3 linked regions of the Arabidopsis thaliana genome follow. The protein of the gene in region 1 interacts with the protein of each later gene in a pairwise test. Each region holds a gene or a part of one and is shown in the gene's direction. Other genes may lie near its edges. The genes, in order: AT1G03660, AT4G22830 and RTH.

Region 1 (7,951 bases):
CATTGTCAACGAACTCGCGCAAAAGTACGCCGGCCAGTTCAAGTTCTACAAACTTAACACTGATGAGTCTCCTGCAACCCCTGGCCAGTATGGTGTTAGAAGCATCCCAACTATCATGATCTTTGTCAATGGTGAGAAGAAGGATACAATCATCGGTGCTGTCTCTAAAGACACTTTAGCAACCAGCATCAACAAATTCTTGTAATGAACTACTAGTCACTGTTCTCTTTTCTCTGTATCTCTCGACTCTCTACCTTTTACCTATCTACTCATCACTGTTCATCTAGACTTGTATGATAATATGATGTCTCAGGTTTTCAGAATTTGAAGTCTACGAAAACATTTTATTATTGTTACCAATTTACACGGTTAGAACTTTGAAGAGGCCTGGTCGTAGGGGCTAAAATTCTAATCTCTAACTAACAACATTGAATACAATTGCAAAACTGAGATAAGGTCAGAGCATTTACACGCACAAACTTACAAAACTTTGTGATGACAAAAAGGTCTGATCTTTAGAAGAACCTTAAGGATACTGTTCTAATGTCGGATTACCGAAAACATTGAATAACATTGCGTAACTGAGACAAGGTCAAAGCATTACACACAAACTTACAAAACCTTGTGATGATAAAAGTTTGATCTTTTGAACCTTACGGATGTTGTTTAGAACTAGAATAAAAGCGACGCTAATCCTCTTCACGTCATCAAGAGAATATATCTCTCACATTTATATCTCTACATAACCTAAGAAGTAATTCAATCTACCCAGTACTGCGCATAGATTCTCTCTCTGTTCGAATCTGTCTCTCTGCTTCAAGTAATTCTCACTTTTTCTTATGCTGCATTAATTTAAAGTTATTTAGGTGGATGTTTATGTCGTCTAATATTCCTGAAGTTTTAGGATTATCAAATCTTACTTATTCTTTTTGATCAGGAGATTTTAAAGTGAAAGTAGCACTGAACAAGAGTATGAAGTGTGACAGTAAATCTGAAACAGTAAGCTCCTCGTCCACATCTGGCTCCCTTTCAGATCCAGATCAGTGGACTATTTTCAAAGACAAGGATGAATCTGAGATTATGAATCCAGCGATTTTGTGTGCTGTAAGAGCAGGTGACAAAGTCTCCCTCCTGAAAAGGATAAACGATGACGTAAAGGTCACTCAACGACTCGTAGACAATCAAGGGAATTCAATACTTCATATTGCTGCTGCTTTGGGTCATGTCCATATAGTGGAGTTTATAATCTCTACATTCCCAAATCTTCTACAAAATGTGAATCTGATGGGTGAGACAACTCTTCATGTTGCAGCCAGAGCAGGCAGTCTCAATATTGTTGAGATTCTTGTTCGATTCATTACAGAGTCTTCTTCCTATGATGCGTTTATTGCCGCTAAAAGCAAGAACGGAGATACTGCACTACATGCCGCGTTGAAAGGAAAACATGTAGAGGTGGCTTTCTGCCTAGTAAGTGTGAAGCATGATGTATCATTTGATAAGAACAATGATGAAGCATCTCCATTATACATGGCTGTAGAAGCTGGATATCACGAGCTCGTGCTTAAAATGCTTGAATCTTCATCTTCCCCATCTATACTAGCTTCGATGTTCAGTGGAAAATCTGTTATACATGCAGCAATGAAGGCCAATAGAAGAGGTTTGTTTCTATGTTTGTTCAACCTTGTACGCCAAGTGTTCTTTATATGTTTTAATTATTTCTTGGTCATTGCTTTGACAGATATCCTAGGTATTGTTCTTAGACAAGATCCAGGACTTATTGAATTACGCAACGAAGAAGGAAGGACATGTCTTTCCTATGGAGCATCAATGGGATGTTATGAGGGAATTCGCTATATACTAGCAGAGTTTGACAAAGCAGCTTCAAGCCTTTGTTATGTCGCTGATGATGATGGCTTCACTCCTATTCATATGGCGGCAAAGGAAGGACATGTCAGAATCATTAAGGAGTTTCTTAAACACTGTCCTGACTCAAGAGAGCTACTTAACAATCAATGTCAGAATATCTTTCACGTTGCTGCCATAGCTGGTAAGTCGAAAGTTGTCAAGTATCTTTTAAAACTTGATGAAGGGAAAAGAATGATGAATGAACAAGATATCAATGGGAATACACCGTTACACCTAGCCACTAAACACAGATACCCGATAGTTGTGAATATGCTTACATGGAACGATGGGATTAACCTCAGAGCACTCAACAATGAAGGCTTTACAGCTTTAGATATTGCTGAGACGATGAAGGACAATAACGCTTACGTACTTTACAAGGTATGTCAAATTTGAAGATTCATGTAGTTAATGATAAAGTCTCATGTAACTTTTTTTATTGGTTTACAGAGATTGATTTGGATGGCTTTGGTATCTGCTGGAGCACCACATGGCCCAAACCTGATTCCCTTGACTGTGTCACAGAGTAGCAAACAAAGTCCAGAAAGATACAAGGATAGTGTCAATACTCTTATGGTGACTGCAACACTCGTAGCAACCGTGACCTTCGCTGCAGGTTTGACATTACCCGGTGGTTACATGAGTTCTGCTCCACATTTAGGCATGGCTGCATTGGTCAATAAGTTGAATTTTAAGGTATTTCTGTTGTTGAACAACATTGCAATGTGCACTTCTGTGGTAACTGTAATGGCTCTAATATGGGCACAACTGGGTGATGCACTTCTGACAAAGAAAGCTTTTCGACTAGCTTTACCACTTCTGTTAACAGCTGTTGTATCAATGATGATGGCATCTGTGGCTGGACTTACTCTTGTGGTGAGCGATCTCCCATGGCTTTCCCATCTTGTATTAGCCATAGATTCAGCCTTCTTGGTATTCCTGATGCTACTTATCATTCCTTACGCTTTCTCGTCTACAAGACATGGCTTTCTCAGACATATCTTCTACTTTCCTTATTTCTTGATGCTTTTGGTTGTTAGCGAAGGCAGCAACAACATGGATGGTTAAAGAATGCTCTGTTCTGTTCTATTCTGCTCTGTTTTGTATCATGGATGATGGATGGTTAGTGTTCTGTTTGTTTTTAACAGTTTTTGTATCTCACGAGTTTGTAATTGTGGTTTTACTAAGTAACCACAAAAATTGGTACAGAGACAAATATGACCGTTGGCTGTTGCAAAGAGCTCACATGCATGATCCCGACTTTGCTCCTCTCGCTTTCAAGGCCAAATTCTCTGTTTCAAAAATAAGAAACCTCAAATAATTTGTCTTGATAAATTGTTGTTACGCAGTAAGATACAAATATGACCGTTGTGAGGAAATTTCCTTTTCTTTTTTTGCAGCCTAATTAAAATTTCCTTTTTCTTAACCTAGTCGAAAACAAAAAGGAAACAATAGAAATTTCCTTTTTTCTATTGAACAACGTTTGCTTATAAATACTCTTCTTCCTTGTAAAATAACTAATTCTTCATTCATCTTCTTCTTCTTCTTCTTCTGCAAAACGAAAACAAAAGAAACCATCTTTCATTTCTATTTTTCTTCGGAGGATCTATGGATCGATTGGATTTTGACTCAGTCGGTACGTGTTATCTGAAACTATTTTGGTGTGAATCTCTTTTGCTTTTAATTGTGAGTTTCGTTGTTCTGTTTAATCTTTAATAGGGTTTGTTTTGGATTATGTTTATCTTTGATGGTTTGAAGTTTAAGAAGATTTAGAACAATAAACGTCGTCGGCGTTTGATTCCAGTCATCGCCGGAGAGAACAAGGCCCAATCGTCGTTTACAATCACCGTTCTTCCTTGTCCAATTCCATTAGGGCTAGGGATGATGCAGTAACACCAATCTCATAAAGTCATAGTCCTCTCTTTCTTGACCTGTAACGGTAAGTAATTTCCAAAATCCTCTATGCTTTTCTCTTTTTTTTTTTTTGTCTACTGTCTCTAAATTTAGCCCTAAACCAAATATTCACTCCTTTCTTCGTTTTATTCAATTTCAGCCTATTGAAAGTTATCGCCTACTAGATTTGTGGACAAACACTGTTCATCAACAATTCAACACTTATTCCATGTAAGTTATTATTATTATTATTATTATTATTTTTTTTTTTTTAACACGATTCCATGTAAGTTATTTCTTCTATTATTCGTTCATTTTTTAAAAATAATAAATTACAAAATGTTTTTGTTTTCAACAAAAAAATAAAAGTATTTTCAACAGTAGTTTTTAATTTTATTTAACAAACTGTTTTCGTTTACACATATTTAAATTTTTAACAATTGTTTCTCTTCTATTAAAAAATATTTTTAAACTTATATTTTTATATAACTATTAAAACTATAAAGGTTTTTTGGATAAGTGTTAAATTTTTGAATTTTGTGTAAACTAATTGGACATAACATCCAAACCCCTAAGAGGTGTCCTAGGTTCAATATGGTTTACACTTAATTTAAATTTTTAATACTTATCATCATTTTATTATAAAAAGTTTTTAAAATTATATTTTTATATAACTATTAAAATTATAAGGGTTTTTTGGATAAATATTAAATTTTTAAATGTTATGTAAACTAATTAGACACAACATCTAAAACCCTAAGAGGTGTCCTAAATTCAATATGGTTTACACATAATTAAAAATTTTAACATTTGTTTTTAATTTATTAAAAAATGTTTTTAAAATTATATTTTTATATTACTATTGAAACTATAAGTTTTTTTTTGGATAAATGTTAAATTTTTAAATATTGTGTTAAACTAATTAGACACAACATCCAAACCCCTTAGAAGTGTCCTAGGTTCAATATAGTTTACACATAATTTAGATTTTTAACACTTATTTTTATTTTATTTTAAAATGTTTTTAAAATTATATTTTTAAAACTATAAGGTTGTTTTGGATAAAGACAAAAACCCAACCTTTGAATCATCGACTTTTTGCGTTGGAGTCAACGACCTTAATTCAATTATTTAATTGCTTGCTCGGCAAGCTAAACATCGTCGTTGATTGGTACGCACATCCAGACTTCTCCTTTCTTATTTTGATTAAGTCAATGACTTGTTAGGATTAAATATTTTGGTTGCTACAAGTTCAAAACTTCAACATTATTTTCTTCGTCTTCCTTCATCACCTAGATTTCAAAGCGTCTTAAGGTAATCTTTGAGTGTGTATTTTCAAGTTTAAGTTCTAACTATTCTTTTTGGGTTTCAATTGGAAAAAGAGAGTAAGTTTATGATAAAATTTCTGAATCTGCTTTTTAAAACATGTTTTTGTGAAGTCCTATCATCATGTCTCGTTTAATTCAATCTTTCAGAGATATAATAAGCTTGGATATGGCTTTGGGATCTGCTAGTTCACCAAATGGTACACAACCAATTCTCTTGAGTGCTTCACAGCGTCCCAGAATATCTAAACTACAAGAACGTATCTTATTGCTTATGGTGGTACAACAATTGTAGCAGTTGTGACATTTGTTATGGGTTTCACATTTACAAAGATCTACACCAGTTCTGCTCCAGATTTAGGCATCACAGGTTTGGTCAAGAAAGCAGTGTTCATAGTTTTTCTGGTTTGCAATAGCATTCCAGTGCTCTTGTCTGTCATAGCTACAATGAATCTTATTTGGCCACAACATCTGGGTGATATTCCTCTGATACAGCAAGCTATGAAACGAGCCATGGTACTTATCATGTTTGCTTTTTGGTCTATGGTTGTTGCATTTGCATTTGGAGTTTGTCTTGTATTGATGCTCCTTCCATGGCATTCCTTCCATGTCTTTAGCTCCAAAGCACATAAGTGATGTGTATGTAGGTTTGTGAACATTTTCCATTACACATTCAAGCTCTTGATTGTTTCTATCTGCAATCTTTCATAAGTTCGTTCACAGTGATTGATCAAATATGTTGTCTTTTAATTTGGTGTGGTCTCTGATACAGTTCCTCTGTTTCTGGGGACTAAATTGTCACAAAAGTTAAATTTGTGGGTCAAATCACAATTTCAAATAGTTTCTAAAAGTCGTCCCCGCCGTCGCTACGCACCTTCATCAAAATCAAATCACAATTTCCTTGGCTCACTCGCTCTCACCGGCTGCGAAACCAACGAGAGATTCCACAAAATCGAATCTTTTGTACAATGGACAAAGGAGTTGTGGTAGAGCTGATTAGAGGGTCGACCAGTTGGGCCAAAGTTGTGGAAGATATCGTGAAGCTGGAGAAGAAAACGTTCCCTAAACACGAATCTCTCGCTCAAACTTTCGATGCAGAGCTGCGTAAGAAAAACGCCGGTTTGCTATACGTGGATGCTGAAGGAGACACAGTAGGCTATGCCATGTATTCTTGGCCATCTTCGCTTTCCGCTTCAATCACCAAGCTCGCAGGTATAGACAAACGTCCGCCAACTGTTCGATGAAATTACTCAGTGATAAAATTCAGAAAATATAATTTCGTTAGAGAAGAAGTGGAATTATTCTGCCAAACTTCTACTGAAAAATCTTTCAACCATTTGATAAATTAACCTGTAGATTATTATATAGTCAAGGACCAATGATTCTGGTAAATTCGAGAGCTTTCAATAGAAATTCTGACTAGACAAAGCCCTTGTTCTAGCTTTGGTTTTGCATGCTTAAAGATTAATGGAGATAGCTCATAAGTCAAGAACACGTATGGAATTTTTCTTATTAGGCAAGTTAAGAGCAAAAACATTAGGAAGAATGTATCCCAAGTTTACTTTCTTCTGTTGTTTTGGAATCATGTAGTGAAGGAGAATTGCAGAAGACAAGGTCATGGAGAAGCATTGTTGAGAGCGGCTATCGACAAGTGCAGAAGCAGAAAGGTGCAACGGGTTTCACTTCATGTCGACCCCACGAGAACTTCTGCGGTGAATCTGTACAAAAAGCTTGGGTTCCAAGTAGACTGTCTAGTGAAAAGCTACTACTCGGCTGATAGAGATGCTTACAGAATGTACCTAGATTTTGATGACTCTATTTAGCCCAAAAGGATTGAATCATTGGATTTGGGGTTATATATGTATTCCCATATCTTGGCTTGGGCTTGATATGCCTTGTACACATTCATTGATTACTTCTCTACATCAACATATTACATATGTCTAGCGAGTTTTTGATATTTTACGATGCAAGATGAAATCATCTTGGGACCATCAACTTATCAACTTCTTCACAATATAGAATGAGATTTTTAATCGTTTTCATGTTAGGAAGTGGTGTAAGATTTCATAATAGAAGATTTTTAATCTTATCATCGATGGTCGACCAAAATGAGAAATGGCATTTGATAGTGTTTTGAAACGTTTTTGTAAGTATTATAATGTAATATTTTATCAAATAATCCCAAGCGGGGATAGCTCAGTTGGGAGAGCGTCAGACTGAAGATCTGAAGGTCGCGTGTTCGATCCACGCTCACCGCATTTTTCTAAAACCTTTTAATCGATTTAAACGACATCGTGTTAAAAAATTAGGTCGTAAGAAAGGCCCATTATGAAAAGATCCACGACATAATCCACCAAACCGCATTCTTTTGTACTTTAAATTAATTTTAAACGACATCTGTTAAAGAATGAGGCAAAACGACGACGTGTTAGAGAAAAGGCACACTAGAAAAGATCCACGACATGATATCCCACCAATTCTCGCCGGTGTTAACCGTTTTGTAATTCCGATCATCGGGTAATTCTCGAAGAGAGAAGAAAGATGTTAGATTCTCTAAGACCGAAGACTCTTATCGGTTAAATTTTACTCGGGATTACGATGCAGTTCGTTGGTCGTGTCTCAACAACAGTAACGATTCATGTCCCCATCTCAACTATGGAGCAATCTACGAATCATCAGTCTAATTGTAAGTGTCTTCAGATTCGAATTCGATGATTAACTCTATTGAAATGCATTCGAATGATTAGTCTGATTGATCATACTTATTGTACATGTCACAAAACATAGTAATCTATATGAATTTGCATATCAAAAATCTTGAGTTC
Region 2 (7,951 bases), on another chromosome or scaffold:
ATGGAAGAAGTATAGTTGGAAATATCGCCACTGATGCAAAAACAAGAAGACCACACACAGGATGTGTAAAAGTTCGTATCTCCCATTGTATAAGCGGTATAAGCTCCTGCAGAACCAGGCAAGTAGATAATTCCCCTTGTTAGTGAAGATTGTAAAAGACATTACACATACAACAAGCTCAAATGCAAGAACTCTTTGATCATACATGAATACTAATAGATACATTAAGCATCAACATCAAATCTAGTCAGACTACAAGCATGCAGACTATACGCAACTAGATCAGCCTCATTCCTCAAGACTACTTAGAATCTTCCACAAGAGTGAATAATCATGAGTTAAAGAATTCAATCAGACAAAGAATTAAACTTTTTGAGACACATGCAAGAGCAAATAAAGCTAAAACTGAATCTGATGATGGAAGTTAAAATCAAACCTTATCCATGATCAATGGACCGATCCAAATGTAACCCACAACAGCCAATGCAGCAAGAAAGGCGAATAAAAGAGAAAGCTTGACCCAAAACCAAAACCGCGACGAATCAGTCTTTTCTTCTTCCTTCTCCTGCTCTGATTCTTGACCTTTCTCTAAAACCTCACTCAATTTCACATAAGGCCCTTTCTCATCGTCGTCTTCAACTCTCACCAGCAGCTCAAGAACCGGTTTTTCGTCCTCCGTAACAGTCATCGAATCCAATCCAAAAAGATAACACTGGGTAAAATCTAATCCACTGGATTTTCCGGTTAAACGGGAAAATCCAGTGATCGGGAATTCGAAAAAGAAGAATGCAATCGAAAGAATCACAAAACAAATTGGTGTGTAGGAAAGAAAGAGAGACAATTTGTGGAAGTTTTCTCCTTGATTTGTGTCTTTGCTTTGTAGTCTTGTACCGATTTTTTTATTACCCTAACTTAAGTATATTAATTGCGTCTTTCTCACTACACAACACATTATATTCCAAATATCAGTTTTAAAATAAGAAAATCATAATTTGAAATATACATTATCTTAAAGCCCAGTGGGCCATTTCCAGAAACTTAAACTCTAACTGGGTCGGGTCGGGTTTTGTTAGGTTGATGATGCGACAGATTCTCGGGTCCCAGATTCTCTGAATCTCTCCCTCTTTCTTCCATTTCCCAGAACTCTCAGAGTTTCGCCACTTCTTCTGAAGAATCTGAAAGATCACAAAGTCCAAAGAAAAAAAATGAGCGTGATCACAACTCCAATAGAGACCCTGCACCTAAAGTCAACACTTCGTCTTCTACCACGAGCTGTTTATCGCAGTCAACGGATTCAAGTTTTCCCGCCCAACATCTTCTCGAACACTTCTCTGAGTTCTCCACTTCGCATCGACCCAATCTCTCAAGGTTTGTTCATCTTACTCTCATCGATCCTCAGGCGTTTATGCTTGTTGGGTACCTGCAAAATTTACACTTTCTTCTCTCATGGTTTTCTTCAACCTACTATATACACAGTTGGCGGATCGAGGAATTTGTGGCGTAGATATGCATCTGATAATTTCTCGGAGATGGGTTTGGATCCTGGAGCTGATCCATTCAAGGTGTGCGCTATGGGATCTTTCCTTTTCCATTCTATGTTATGTTGGGTTTGAATAGTCTTCTCAAAATGTGTCATCTTTAATGTCAAAATGTGATTTTGCACTATTGAAGACTTGTTAATTATCCTACTTTTGAATCTGATTAGCTAAAAATCATCCCTGGATCACAGTTTTGCTACTTTGTTCTTCGTTTGCTGATGATTTCAGTTGTTAAGAATTTTATGTTACTTCCGAGAACCAACATGAATCTAGTAAGTGGCTTGCAGGTTATTGAGAAGCCTTCTATAGTGGATAGAATGAAGAAAGCAAACTCAATTCTTCCTCATGTAGTGTTGGCGAGTACAATATTAGCTCTTATCTATCCTCCTTCTTTCACTTGGTTTACGTCGAGGTTCTTCCCATTGGAACAAGGTCAAATTGATCTAAGACTTTGAATTGTAGACATGAGGTTTGCTAAAAAGCTCTTCTTTACTCTCCTGTTATTTTAGGTACTTTGTGCCCGCTTTAGGTTTTTTGATGTTTGCGGTTGGTATCAATTCAAACGAGAAAGACTTTCTTGAAGCTTTCAAAAGACCAAAAGCTATCCTCCTCGGTTATGTTGGACAATATCTCGTAAAGCCTGTCCTAGGTTTCATCTTTGGCCTAGCTGCTGTTTCTCTTTTCCAACTCCCAACTCCAATTGGTAAAAGCTCCCTGTCTCTCATCATTCAAGACTCTTAACCTATCTCTCACATTAACCAATCTTTCTCAATCTCTCAGGTGCTGGAATCATGTTGGTATCATGTGTTAGTGGAGCTCAGTTGTCAAACTATGCGACATTCCTAACTGATCCAGCATTGGCACCTCTTAGCATCGTCATGACATCTCTATCAACCGCTACTGCGGTTCTTGTCACACCGATGCTATCACTCCTGCTCATTGGGAAGAAACTACCCGTTGATGTAAAAGGAATGATATCCAGCATTCTTCAGGTTGTAATCGCACCAATCGCTGCAGGATTGCTACTAAACAAGTGAGAGATATAGCTACAAGCCTACAACTAGAAATAACCACAAGTTGTTTCTCTAAGTATAACCATTTTTATCTCCTTTTTGTTTCTTCTTTTACAGGTTGTTCCCAAAAGTATCAAATGCAATCCGACCATTTCTCCCGATTCTATCGGTTCTCGACACAGCTTGCTGCGTTGGAGCACCACTCGCATTGAACATAAACTCGGTCATGTCTCCATTTGGAGCCACCATATTGTTACTAGTAACAATGTTTCATCTCTCAGCTTTCCTCGCTGGATACTTCCTTACCGGTTCTGTCTTTAGAAACGCTCCAGACGCTAAAGCCATGCAAAGAACATTGTCCTATGAAACTGGTACTAACTCTTTATGGTATTGGAAAATCTTATCAAGAAAGTACAATTTGGTTTAAAGATTTGAGAAGAGAAATGTGTTTGTGAATATATCAGGAATGCAGAGTAGCCTTTTGGCTCTAGCGCTTGCTACTAAGTTCTTTCAAGATCCTCTTGTGGGGATTCCTCCTGCTATATCTGTAAGTCTCATATCCTTTTGACATAGCATAATCTTTTATTGATGATGATTATAGAGATTTTTGTTTTGTTTTGCAGACGGTGGTAATGTCATTGATGGGGTTCACTCTCGTTTTGATCTGGTCTAAGGAAAAGAGTAACACATTTTAACATTTTGATTTTGTTTCACTCCACATTTTGATTATACATATATATATGTACTACAAATAATTGGAAAATTCTTCTTGTAATATAAATAATTCAATACAGAATTTGAGATTTTTAATGTACTAATCTCCATTTTGTCTTTATATTTTTCTCTTCAACTTCAAAGATGGGAAGTAATTAGAAAAACCAGAATTTGTTAATAAACCGATTAGTTTAATTTTGTTTGTGAAAATGATAAAAGACGGTTCAACAGCAAACCGGTTTAAAATTAAACCAGAACTTGGGAATTGGAAATTGGAGAAAAATCTCAGCCATGGCGATTGCTTCAACAGCCACCGTTCTTTTCTGCTGCGCCAAACCCAATTTCCGGCGAATTCATTCTGAGAGCCGTCCAGCTTCTTCTCTCACCACCTCTAACGAACCTGTAATTCGGATCCGAAGCCGCAGTTTAATTCATGACCCGGTTGCGCTGTCGGGTCTTATCGGAACCAGTTTGGTTGCGGCTGCTTTCATCACGGCGGGACCAGATGCTACTGCTTTGGCGGCGGTGGTGGATTCTCTTCAGCTAAGCGAACCGTCCAATGCGTTGTCTTTACCCACTTGGGCCGTTCATGTTTCCAGCGTTGTCGAATGGTTCTCTTCTTCTTCCTTTGCTTTATTGATTGAAATTCTCACTTAGAAAACATTTGACATTTGATCTATAGTGACACAAGAGAGTATTTGATGTTGTGGGTTTTTCGAGTTTTTGATATCATTATGAGAGAAGCTTCATCTACATATAAAGTCTCGATCTTTCACTCACAATGTAGATTAAGCTTCTCTCATTATGGTTTGAAATGCAGTTGGAGCTAACAAACAAGAAAAATGTAATGTCTTTCTAATTCTGGTGTTGTTTTTACTAAAGGATTACGGCGATGGCATTGGTATGGAAGTATGGAGAAAGAAAGGGTTATGAGTCTTGGAAAGGTCTCTCATGGGGAATGGTGAGAAAGCTCTAAGCCGTTTTCCTAGATTACATGATTTCATTTTTCTGAGCTTTTTGGTTGTTCTTAATCAGGTACCTTTGCTTGGTGGAGCTCTCTGTGCATGCACATGGCATTTCTTCTACAACGATGAATCTCTTGAGGTCAAGAAACTCTTGACTCCAACTTTTAGCTATAAGTCTGTGATATGTTTCGTTTGCTTCTTCACTCCTACTTAATGGTGTAATTGTTGGACTGCATTATCAGGTGTTGGTCGCTCTTCAGGCAGCACTAACGGTGTTTGGTAATATCACTCTCTGCATTGCTGCCTTTCGGATCAACAAGTTGTCATCCAAAATTGAAGTCTCTGAAAAGCCATGATGGCTAAACCGATCAATATGAGCAAAGTATAATTGAATTATTAATTGGAGGATCACTAAGATTCTTTTCCCCTTTGAAAAGTTCTATGAGATTCTATGTCAACGATTTAAGTATATTATATAGTCTTTATATGAGGAAGATCCATGTGCATTCAACCTATATCAGTAACCCAAGTTACACAGATTTAGTCTTATCCAGAATCTAGAGTTTGAATTAAATTATAAATTTTGGTTACGTGATCATAAGAACTTCTCCATTTTTGTATAAATGAGATCAAGAAAACAGAAGAAAGAAAGTGCCAAAACTGATAACGTTTTTCCCAGTGTGGCAAGTTTGGCTAAAATTATAAATAAAAGTAGACATCAAAATGCAGATATTGAGATTATCTTAACTCAAAATGCAGATATTGAACGTTTAACATTATCTGAACTAATTATCTTGTTTTGTTATATCATCTTAAATCGAGACCATATATAGTAAAACATGCCAACAAACTCAATCTAGTTAGTTGAAGAAAATCATTGTGTATAACTTACATCTGTCACACACAAAATTGAATCTTTACGTGGGACAGTACGACAATTTTTTTTTTTTTTAAATCCGAATCTCTTGAAGTTAAAAACTATAAGCAAAAATGTGGGGTGGTTGAGCTATTTCTGGTTAGGATCTTAATAAGAAGAAAAAAAATGAACGTAAGTACATAAGTTTAAAATAATAAAATTTTCGAATTATTAAAATAAGATACCAAGTTCCACTTAAATCTTGACAACGCGTTAATCGTGTTTAGACCAAGCCAGGGCGTGATGAAGAAGGCATATCTTATCTTTATCTTCCCCAAAAGTCCACCAATAATACCATCTTAATCATTACTTAAACAACCCCAAAGGCCATTTATACATTTAAATTTGTTAATTTTACCTATTAGTTTGTACTCCTATTATGGGAAAAAAAAACCTACATCATTTTTTTTTGGATCAAACTGGATAAAAAATGTCAATTAATAAAAAAATGGAAAGTCAGAATTCAAAAATAAAGGAAATATACACGTCAGCTACGAAAGTACAGTTCTGACTTCATAACTTTGGAAATTTTACAAAACAGTGCCATTATTATTCCGTTTAGCTGCTCGATGATAAATTATAACCGTCAGATTAGGTCAGCCAAAAGAATCGCACGGTTAAGATTACGAAAGTGTACAATAAGGAGGTGTAGAAGAACACAACTTAAAAAAAGTGAAAACCGTAGCGTGACTCATACCATATAAATATATACACATGTATGTTCCTCCATAGTTACGTGTTTCTGTTTTTCTCTAATTTTTCTCTTGTTGTTCTCGATTAACGAAAAAGACTTGTCGTTCTCAATTCTTATCGATTTAAGAACAAATCATCTAACGAAGATTACTTCCGAAGATCAGAAACAAACACAAACTGTGAATCGTTGTTTGTTAATTCTCTTTAAAATCGCCAGAAGAAAGAGATCTCCGTTTTCTACAGGTAAAAATTCCCAATCTCCTTTGTCTTGTGTATTTTTGATTGATTGATTGATTTAGTTGATTCTGTGTCTTGTCCGATCTGAATTAGATTCTTGTGTTATCTTAGTATTTGTGTTTCGGAAACTCAGATCTACTTTTTTAATTGCATAATTTGATGACGAAATTGTTGTTATCGTAGCTAAAACAAAATCGATCTGTGTCAATAATATAGTTGTACTTTTGTTATGGATCTAATCCTCAAAAACCCGACAACCTTAAAAGATCCTCTGACATTGAGGAATCTTTGGTCTGACTAATCTCATCTATTGTCTTCTTGTCGTGTATATTGTCAATAATCGCAGTGGTAAAATTTTAATTTGAATTTATGTGGTGTAACAGAAGAAAAGCAAGAGAGTAAGAATGGGATCGGAACAAAACGATAGCACAAGCTTCACGCAATCGCAAGCTTCAGAGCCAAAGCTATGTGTTAAAGGATGTGGTTTCTTTGGATCACCATCAAACATGGATCTCTGTTCTAAATGTTACAGAGGCATTTGTGCTGAGGAAGCTCAAACAGCAGTTGCTAAAGCTGCTGTTGAAAAATCTTTCAAGCCTTCTCCTCCTCGTAGTCTCTTCATAGCAGAACCTCCTGCTGTTGTTGTGGAACCCAAACCCGAAAAGGCGGCAGTTGTTGTTGTCTCGGCCGAGCCATCTTCCTCGGCGGTTCCTGAGGCGAACGAGCCATCGAGACCTGCACGAACCAACCGGTGTTTGTGTTGTAACAAGAAGGTTGGGATCATGGGGTTTAAGTGCAAATGCGGGAGCACTTTCTGCGGCGAACATCGGTACCCGGAGACTCATGATTGCAGCTTTGATTTCAAAGAAGTTGGACGTGGAGAGATTGCCAAAGCTAATCCTGTGGTTAAGGCTGATAAAATTCAAAGGTTCTGAAATATGGAAGTTTTTTCTAAGTATTTTGGTGGTAATTACTCATTTGTATTTGAACCGATTTGGGGGTTGTCTTGGATGGTTTTAATGGATTGTTTCCAAAGGGATAGAGGATGATGAATTTGGTTCCGTAATAAAGTGAATCGATGAAGTTTGTTCTTAAACTAAATTGCCAATGAGTTTGACTCATCTCACTTTTACAAAAAAAATTTGGTCATGTTTACAATTTCAATATAGACATCATAAACAAAATAAGTAATCTTACCAATAGACCTTTGACGAAAGAAGGGATAGTGTTAAGTGTTAACCATGGCAAGGCAACCATCGACCCACTATTCAGTTCGCTTTCCCCCTAAGTGTCTTTCCCATTTTAAACTCTCAGTAACAAATCCGCGTAATATACACGCAAAACCTACCACTGGGAGTTTAAAATGAGAGAGATACTCATCGTCCTCCCTATTTTGAAGATGGGAGCATTGTGAAATTTTATAACACTTCAAAATTATACAGACATTCATAACAATAAAGATATACATGAACCAACGATAACACTCGGCCTTTTATCTTCGAAAAAAAGTCATGTTTCCTAAGTGAGCTAACTAATTTATGTCTTGGTATAACATACCAATGTTACATGAATATATAAATTTGAACTTGGCATATATATTAGAGTTTTATCTTATTTGATCAACATGATAGCATATTGGGCCCCATATCGGCCTAAATATATAAATATATTTTTGGGCCTGGAATTTGGTCTGTACATGTAAAGCCCACATGTAAGATTGAGGATATATAAAACTCGATTCTATTAAATAATACTATACAGTATTTGCTAGATGCTGAAGTAGTATACAAATTACAAAGGATAATATATTAACTTTATACATTTATAAAAATGTTGGCAACACCTTGAAAATTCATGAATTTAATTCAAAAGTCA
Region 3 (7,951 bases), on another chromosome or scaffold:
CAGTTGTCGTATAAAGCATAAATAAATATTGGTGTAAAATCCAAAAAAGGAAAGTTGTTGGTCTAACTAATCCATTGCCAAGAAAATGTTGGTAAGATATCAATTTACTTTGGTGAGGTTTTTGAAAAATGTAACCCAAGTATTGCTCTTTAGCAAATCATGCGTTGTCTTCACTCTTCAATCAATGTCTGATACTATTATTTTGCTCTATAACGATGGTTTTGTAGTATGTATATTATTATGTGTAAATCATTACACCACTCATGCCTCCCACATTCCCATTTGAGAATTGAGGATTATATTATTACTACTAGCGTGGTCCAAAAAACTCTTAACTTTTAACCACATCGCTGCATCAATTATTACTGGCAAGCTAAGCCTATTTTATTTACTTAACCTATTTAGTACTTTTTTTGTTTGTTCAAAAAATCGTATTGTACGATGAGTCCCATGAATAAAGTGTAGCTTTGTATCGAGGAAGAGATATATATCTACGAAGTATTTCTAGAAAACGTATTTTTTTTTTTTTTTTTTATAAATTAAATGTCACATAATTCCATTAAAACATCAAAATTGACAAAAACATAAAGTCCTCTATTTGCCTCTACCATTTTTTACTTGAATTCTACAAAGTATAAAGTTATACAGCTGAAACCAGGAAATAAGGCACTGAATCTACACTGGTATATCAGTAATATTTCCGGTTTACCAAAACCGATGTGGGTGAAGCTGCTAAAGCGGACCTGCCGGTTTAACTTCCGTAGAGAGGAAGAAAACTCTACGAGATTTCTATTAAAAGCTAGATGATGGTCGAGGCTTACCTTGAATGGAGTTTAAGTGCTGAGTAACGAAAATAACTGCCATAACTACTAAGAGACAACCCACCAACGAACTGAAGAACAGAGCCCCTGGCTGTCTGGTTTGAACAAACCCGTAAACCCCATTTGAGGTCATCACAATCACATCCGTTAGACCATCGTTCGAGAAGTCATCAGTGATAAGTGCATGAGTCGGTTGAGACGGTAATTCGATGGAAGCCAATATGCTTCCTCCCGGAGAGATGATGACCGCTGCTTGATCTCCCCCGGCAAGGATCATAGGCTGGTTATCATGAATGCGCAACGAGAATGGTTTCAGGGTTGGGACCACCGTCCCTGATTCAGTTAAACCCGATGGAGACGGGAGATTCGACCATGTGGCTTCTGTCTGAAGCTGCCATTGCCAGACTGCGTCGTGGCCGTGCACATCAGGCGTGTATGATGTCACCTGATACGGAGCAGTGATGAGCTATTATTAAACGAAATTCAAAGTTGAAGAAATTAAGAGATTGTATCGGCATATATAGAAAGGAAAAAAGTACCTCTCCACGGTTTGTCAAGAAGATTACATCTCCGTGACTGCCTTTGCGGTGTTTGTGTCCATCATCTCTGGGGATGAGAATGGGAGTTGCGATCTCCAGAGTAGAGGTGTCTCTTGCCTGGGCGAAGTGTCGTGAGTAATCTCCTCCATAGTGCAAGAAGTTAAAAGGGGAGTGATGGCAGATCGAGACGTTAAAGAGCTGTTCCCGGATGGGAACGCCTGAGGTTGCCACTGCCCAGCAAGGCTTCAACACTTCCATTGACCCGCTCACTACAGTTCTCTCTCCAACATTGCCTCCGACAGTCTAAGGTGGATAGAGAATATTTATGGTCGTAAAAATTGAAGATCCATGAGAAGGCTAATGAACCAAAAGCGGGAGTAGTGTTTGATGTGTGTACCTGGACATGATCGAGAACACCATCTCCGTTTATGTCGGCGTGAAGTCCACCTTCAAGTAGAGAAAGCTGCGAACAGGAAGAATTTATAAACGCTGACTAAGTAAGTAATAGGTACGTGAAATAGTAACCTTGTTCATGATCTGAAGGAACAGCCACTAGGACCAACCTTGCAAAGTGTTCGACCAGTAGGCAAATGAATAGCTTCAATTCCTTCCTTTTGATGAGCCACAACAACATTAGGAACCCACCAAAGCTTCGTGTAATTAGTTATCGTCGGAATGTATTGCATACCCTGCATCAACATGTTGCTTTGCTATCATAAACAAATATTGGTATTTTTGATGTGGGTAGTTCACGTTTTATAAGAGCTTCACCTTCTTGGGTTTTGCCGAGCCAGCATAGCGTGCAGCCTTTCCAATCAATTTTGGAATCTTTCTTGACAAGTCCTTTCCAGCGGGTGTGTGTTCCTCAGGTTTGTGAAACGGATAAGCTGTAGACTTACTACCAGCCTGCTTCTTCAATGTTTTCCTCTTGTGTCGCCTGAAATGAGCAAGCTTCAATAATGTATCTTCACGTCGGTCCTGATGCAAAGACAACAGTGTACTTTGAAACAATTTTTCTAATATATTACACTAACGAAGCATGTAGTAGGAGGCATAAGACTTACCCAGCGATGGGGCATGACACTAAGAATTGATTCTCTAAATTCCCTGCACTCAAACTTCAGTCCAGCAAAGCTTTCAAATTATGATAGTGCAATAGAAATCTCTTCCGAAAGAACGAAGGAAAGGTTAACTATTTCGCTCAATAATCAATGGAGAACGAATTAATTTTACCTCTCCTGGGTGACGGCTATTTAGAGCATGCACATCAAGCTTGTAATTGTGTTGTGGAATTAATTGTGATGCATCTGAGGTGTGAGCTTCAACATCCTAGATGAGAAGAACGAAAAAAATCTATCAATCTGACCACCAAATTTGTTGCAGGTACGAATGTAGTTAAGGAATATGCAGATAAAGAAGTGAGCAGAAAAGAATAAATAACTGACATCAGTCTTTTTACTCCATCGAAGAAGGCCAGTCTTGCCAGCAAATGCATAGACAGAAAAGTGACGCAAGTTTATGGCTCCAGAATCTTCAGAGGCCTGAAAGGAAGCTTAAAATTCTTCTAAACTGTCCAAACAAAGTTCTTATGCACATTGGAACATGTATAACTACAAACGAATAGCTCTTTCTTCAGAATTGTTCAGTTCTAGAGAAAATGTATAAGGAAACTATAAATATACACAGCTACGAAACAGTCCAAGGAAACTATCATATAGTCGTACCTGATTCTCAGTAGCACTTCTTCTGTGTTGATCAGCATTTTGTGCTGTCATGCCAAGTTCCTCAAATGGGTCCATGTGATTCTAAAACGAAAAGAATAATCTATTGGTAACATATGGAAGATACATAGGAAATCAACAGAGGAATTTTTCATCCTACATACATATGGCTGCATCTCCATCCGTCCACCAACAATAACCAAACCCGTATCACCATGCTTCAATGTGTAATTGCTTATCGAAATTGCTATCTCTCTATGGTGTGCATTATGTGGGAAATCCTCCTGTCATTCCACCAACAAAGGTAAGCAAAAGGAGAATCAATACTACTGAACCAAGACAAACTTTTATGCAGAACGTTAGACAAAGAACGAAGAAGATAAAAACCTGCAGATTCGTTTCCCACAGCTTTTTCAGGTTGTGATCAAAGCAGAGCACAGACCAACCTGAGGTAACAACGACCACAACCTGCTTCTGGGGAGTTCCATTTTTATAGTACCTATCAATAACACCTGTGGCCATGGCCACAGCACGTCTCCCTGACGCAACACGGATCTTGTCAGGCAAAAGAGTGATTTCCGCAAGAACACGTGCTTCACTAAAACCTTCATCCACACGCCTGGAATGAGGCTCCAGAACCTAATCCAACAAAACATCAACAGTTTCAGAACTTAATCCAACACAGAACAGCAAACCATAGAAGAGAAATGCATAATCACCAAGCCTCACATCATTAGTTCGACAAAAAGGCTCTAAAACAATAAAGAGCAATGCATAAGCACTGAACTATAAGCTGCAATCATTCGTTCTAACGACCGAAATAGCCAGATAGACTCTATAAAAATTGGCGAGAAAGATCGAAATCAGAAATGTTTTTACCTACAAAAGTTAGAAAATTTCATATGATACCTGAATTTTGGCATCATTAGTAGCAACGAGAACCTCCTTCTTTCCATCACCATTAAGATCAGCTACAATAGGTGGTGGGAGACGATCAGCTTCGTATTTGACTGGGTATTCATCATACAAATGAAACCATGCTTCTTTGAACGCAAAATCACCCTCGTGCTGCAAAAGTCATCAAGTCCCACATATCAAGTAAACGCACCATTAATAAGAAAATTGAATCCATTGGTTCCATCTGGAAATTCTACAAATTCGCTAACATGACACTACTTACGGATCGAATTAGCAGTCTAAGTTCTACCCACAAAGGAAAATTCAAAGCTTTCTCAAGTAACAGATCGATCAATGATTCTAGATGTTCAGCTACAATTTGATTGAACTAAGAAAGAATAAGAAGACGATTAGTGTGTAAAATCACCTGAAGAGTGAAGAATATAGCAAATCCAGAGAGCATCAAAATAGCCAAATCGCGTTTCCTCATCTTTGCCCTAACCGCAAGCAGATGTATCAATGGCAGATTTGCATCAGTAGGTAGCAGCAATCTCCTTACCAGAGCAGAGAGAACGATGAAGAATAGTCGACAACTTCAAAACTACGCCGTATAGATATATCAGACGTTTAATAGAATAACATCCTGACGTTTTTGTTCTCTTTGACCGAACGTTATGTCGTTTATACTACTATCCTTGAAACGGTGAAGATATCCGAGAGAGGATTAGTTTAAACAAGGAGCCAAACACGTTCTTTAGTGTCATCGTTCGTAAAATTGGGGCCGAGAGAGAAACAAAAATTTCCCAGGAAAAAGGCAGTGATTGAAGATTGTATTAGATCCGATTAATCGTCTTCCTGGTCGCTTGAACTGGTATGTATGCTTTGATCTATTCTTTATGAAAAAGTTTCGGAATCAATGTCTATGAAGATGCTTTGATGTTGACTCGTTGCTAGTTGGATTATGTATCTTTAATGGCGTTTTCTGGATCCCTCGTTCGCCATGTTCGTATGGATTCATCGTTTAGTGTTTAAGACTCGCGATTCGTAGAACTACGAGAATTGTTTACTTAGCTTTTCTATGTAGTGGTCGTAGTGTTTTAGCACAATGTGTTGATTGAATATCAATTAGACGACTCTTGTTTCAAGTTTATCCAGTAATCAATGAATTGGTAGTAGCTTGGTATATGCAAAAATCCAAAGCAGCACAGGGCTAGAAGGAGCTGCTTATCGCTTCTGGAAGGCTCAGTCCCAACTCGGACTTCCATGATGGGATGATATGCATTTATGTTTTGGGTTCGATGTAAATGATATGCATCAGCTATTCGAGTATTAAGAACAACTTTTACATATCAAATCCAAGTGCTTTATTGAATCTTACTTACATGGGGATCACTGGACGTGTTGTTTTTTGCTTACAGAGAATCAAATAATTGAGCTCAACTGGATTTGGATATGGGAGAGACAGCAACAGATTCAGAACATCGCATGATGATCGGATTATCGGATCCTATGAAAATTGATCCCAAAAGAGACCGGTTTCCATGCTGCATTGTTTGGACACCTCTTCCCTTCATTTCATGGCTGGTTCCCTTCATCGGCCACGTCGGTATCTGCAGAGAAGACGGTGTCATCCTCGACTTTGCAGGACCTAATTTTGTCTGTGTTGATAATTTTGCATTTGGAGCTGTTTCTCGATATATTCAAATCAACAAAGAAATGGTAACGTTTGCAAGATGCCGGCTTTCATTTTCAACCTTGATACAAAGTAACAATTTATTCATATTGGCCTTGGATTTGAATCAGGAGTCATCTCGTTCTTCCAGTTCTGGTATGTTCAATGGTGAGAGGAGATATGAGCAAGAAGAAGATAGTCATGAGAAAGAGCCAACATGGGATGATGCACTGAGAAAAAGCACGCAAGAGTACCAACATCACTCATATAACATACTCACATGCAACTGTCATTCCTTTGTAGCCAACAACCTGAACCGTCTATCTATAAAGTCAGGCGGATGGAACGTGGTGAATCTCGCGACACTAGTGCTTTTCAAGGGACGTTGGGTGAACAAAACGGCTATAGTAAAGTCCTTGTTGCCTCCACTCATAGTCTACACTATAGGAATCTTACTCGGTGGTTGGACTTTCATTGCCTCCTGCTCGATTCTAGTGGTTTTGCTTACCGGGTGGTTCATCATTGGAACGTATTGTTTCAAGAAACTGATTCAGCTGTAGATTTGAATCATAATGTACAAATGATGTCTACAAAATGTTTTTTACTTTTTACGATGGATATTTACAACTTTGCTTTGTGTGTGGTTAATTTGTTACAAGTAAAACTTTGAGGAGTAAAAGTGTGAATATTTATGATTTGGGTAAAGAAGGAAAGTAGCAATTGGTGGGTGTAATTATGGGAAACAAAATCACGCGTCGAATAAAGTAGAAGAGAAAAACTATTGACGGGCAAAATTGGGATTGGTAGGTGACGCGCATGCTAAGTAATTGAAAAAAAAAAAACACAAGAGGAGAAGAAACAGAACAGAGAAGAAAAAGAGAGAAGATGGCTTCGGAAGAAGGACAAGTGATCGCCTGCCACACCGTTGAGACATGGAACGAGCAGCTTCAGAAGGCTAATGAATCCAAAACTCTTGTAATCTTCTTCTCCCAAATTTCTTGATTTCATTTTGTTTTTGATGAGATATGGATTTGTTATTATTCTTGATTTGGTTTGTTTTGGGTTGCGTTTTTAAATAGAGTCTTTGATCTCTCATACTTAAGCAATGTAATGATATGATTCTTTTTTGTATGAATTCATGTTTGAATTTTATGACAATTCTTGGATCTGCATTACCATAGATTAGATCCTAGGATTGGTAGGAGATCATAATGACTTATATTACGAGTCATGTTGATAATTCTATGAAACTAAGGGATCCCTAGAAAAATGTTTACGCTGAAGATAGATGTAATGTTCACAATTCTTACGATATGATATGTTTTTAGTGTAAATGGTTTTTCAATGAAAATGATTCATGATTGGTTATATTGTTGAAGGTGGTGGTTGATTTCACGGCTTCTTGGTGTGGACCATGTCGTTTCATCGCTCCATTCTTTGCTGATTTGGCTAAGAAACTTCCTAACGTGCTTTTCCTCAAGGTTGATACTGATGAATTGAAGGTACATTCACCAACATTTTTCCCTTCTTCTTGAGAGATATTGTTTTCTTCGATCACAATCTCTTTTATGGTTTTGTTGGAACAGTCGGTGGCAAGTGATTGGGCGATACAGGCGATGCCAACCTTCATGTTTTTGAAGGAAGGGAAGATTTTGGACAAAGTTGTTGGAGCCAAGAAAGATGAGCTTCAGTCTACCATTGCCAAACACTTGGCTTAAGCTTTCCACTCTTATATATCTCTTAAGATGTTGGATTAATTGTTCTATTACTCTTGACATGTTATAACTTGTTCCCCTTTGTTATGGTTCCGGTCTATAATCTCATCTGACTATTTGAAGCTGAAAATTGCTTTGCTTATCCAGTAAATCAATTACTTTGTGACTTCAAAGTATATTTGAAAACTAATTTCTACATTATGTCCTCAAAAAAAAAAAAAATATTATGCAATGGACGTGAATAAAGAGAGAGCATTTTCTTAAAGGTGATGCTTATTCAGAAGGTCATTTGTGTTCTGAAAACGGTTCGAATATTGGACAAGTGAAGCTAGGAATTGATCATTGGCAATGTTTCGATACGGATGGCAAATATGTACAAATGAAGGATTCTGTTTCTTTCTATGTAGTATTAAATTGCAAAAGGATTTACACAAATAATAAGCTATTAAAAACAAAATCCATTTGCTACTAAGAAATATTATCAGAACGTTTAATGGAAACTCAATCTGATAAAAAAAAAATCATTTCGTCTAAGAAAAGAGAGAAATCCCTCCACGAAATCATTTTGAAAGATGCTACCGAAGCA

The links.
Region 2: the proteins of AT1G03660 (region 1) and AT4G22830 interact in a protein complementation assay, tested with the Arabidopsis thaliana proteins (one large-scale study listed by BioGRID).
Region 3: the proteins of AT1G03660 (region 1) and RTH interact in a protein complementation assay, tested with the Arabidopsis thaliana proteins (one large-scale study listed by BioGRID).

Annotation. Positions count from the first base shown.
Region 1 is NC_003070.9:909,244-917,194, reverse strand, and holds AT1G03660 (Ankyrin-repeat containing protein), read left to right. Parts: upstream 1-3,386; 5' UTR 3,387-3,541; intron 3,542-3,599; exon of another isoform or gene 3,600-3,663; 5' UTR 3,664-3,844; intron 3,845-3,958; 5' UTR 3,959-4,029; intron 4,030-4,929; exon of another isoform or gene 4,930-5,112; intron 5,113-5,273; 5' UTR 5,274-5,435; coding exon 5,436-5,759; 3' UTR 5,760-5,885; downstream 5,886-7,951. Other genes in the region: THM1 (thioredoxin M-type 1), read left to right, coding at 1-205; AT1G03670 (ankyrin repeat family protein), read left to right, coding at 973-1,657, 1,739-2,286, 2,356-2,973; AT1G03650 (Acyl-CoA N-acyltransferases (NAT) superfamily protein), read left to right, coding at 6,092-6,335, 6,714-6,946; POR C (protochlorophyllide oxidoreductase C), read right to left, coding at 7,950-7,951.
Region 2 is NC_003075.7:11,986,931-11,994,881, reverse strand, and holds AT4G22830 (YCF49-like protein), read left to right. Parts: upstream 1-3,453; 5' UTR 3,454-3,474; coding exon 3,475-3,580; coding exon of another isoform or gene 3,581-3,638; coding exon 3,639-3,876; intron 3,877-4,147; coding exon 4,148-4,226; intron 4,227-4,300; coding exon 4,301-4,369; intron 4,370-4,472; coding exon 4,473-4,586; 3' UTR 4,587-4,818; downstream 4,819-7,951. Other genes in the region: AT4G22850 (SNARE associated Golgi protein family), read right to left, coding at 1-106, 437-688; AT4G22840 (Sodium Bile acid symporter family), read left to right, coding at 1,206-1,368, 1,477-1,562, 1,826-1,950, 2,048-2,241, 2,319-2,571, 2,669-2,922, 3,016-3,098, 3,175-3,246; AT4G22820 (A20/AN1-like zinc finger family protein), read left to right, coding at 6,481-7,011.
Region 3 is NC_003074.8:18,950,540-18,958,490, reverse strand, and holds RTH (RTE1-homolog), read left to right. Parts: upstream 1-4,689; 5' UTR 4,690-4,849; exon of another isoform or gene 4,850-5,396; 5' UTR 5,397-5,430; coding exon 5,431-5,697; intron 5,698-5,781; coding exon 5,782-6,210; 3' UTR 6,211-6,418; downstream 6,419-7,951. Other genes in the region: AT3G51050 (FG-GAP repeat-containing protein), read right to left, coding at 793-1,266, 1,361-1,663, 1,758-1,823, 1,924-2,049, 2,132-2,338, 2,425-2,478, 2,594-2,689, 2,806-2,901 and 5 more; TRX1 (thioredoxin H-type 1), read left to right, coding at 6,536-6,625, 7,030-7,152, 7,237-7,368.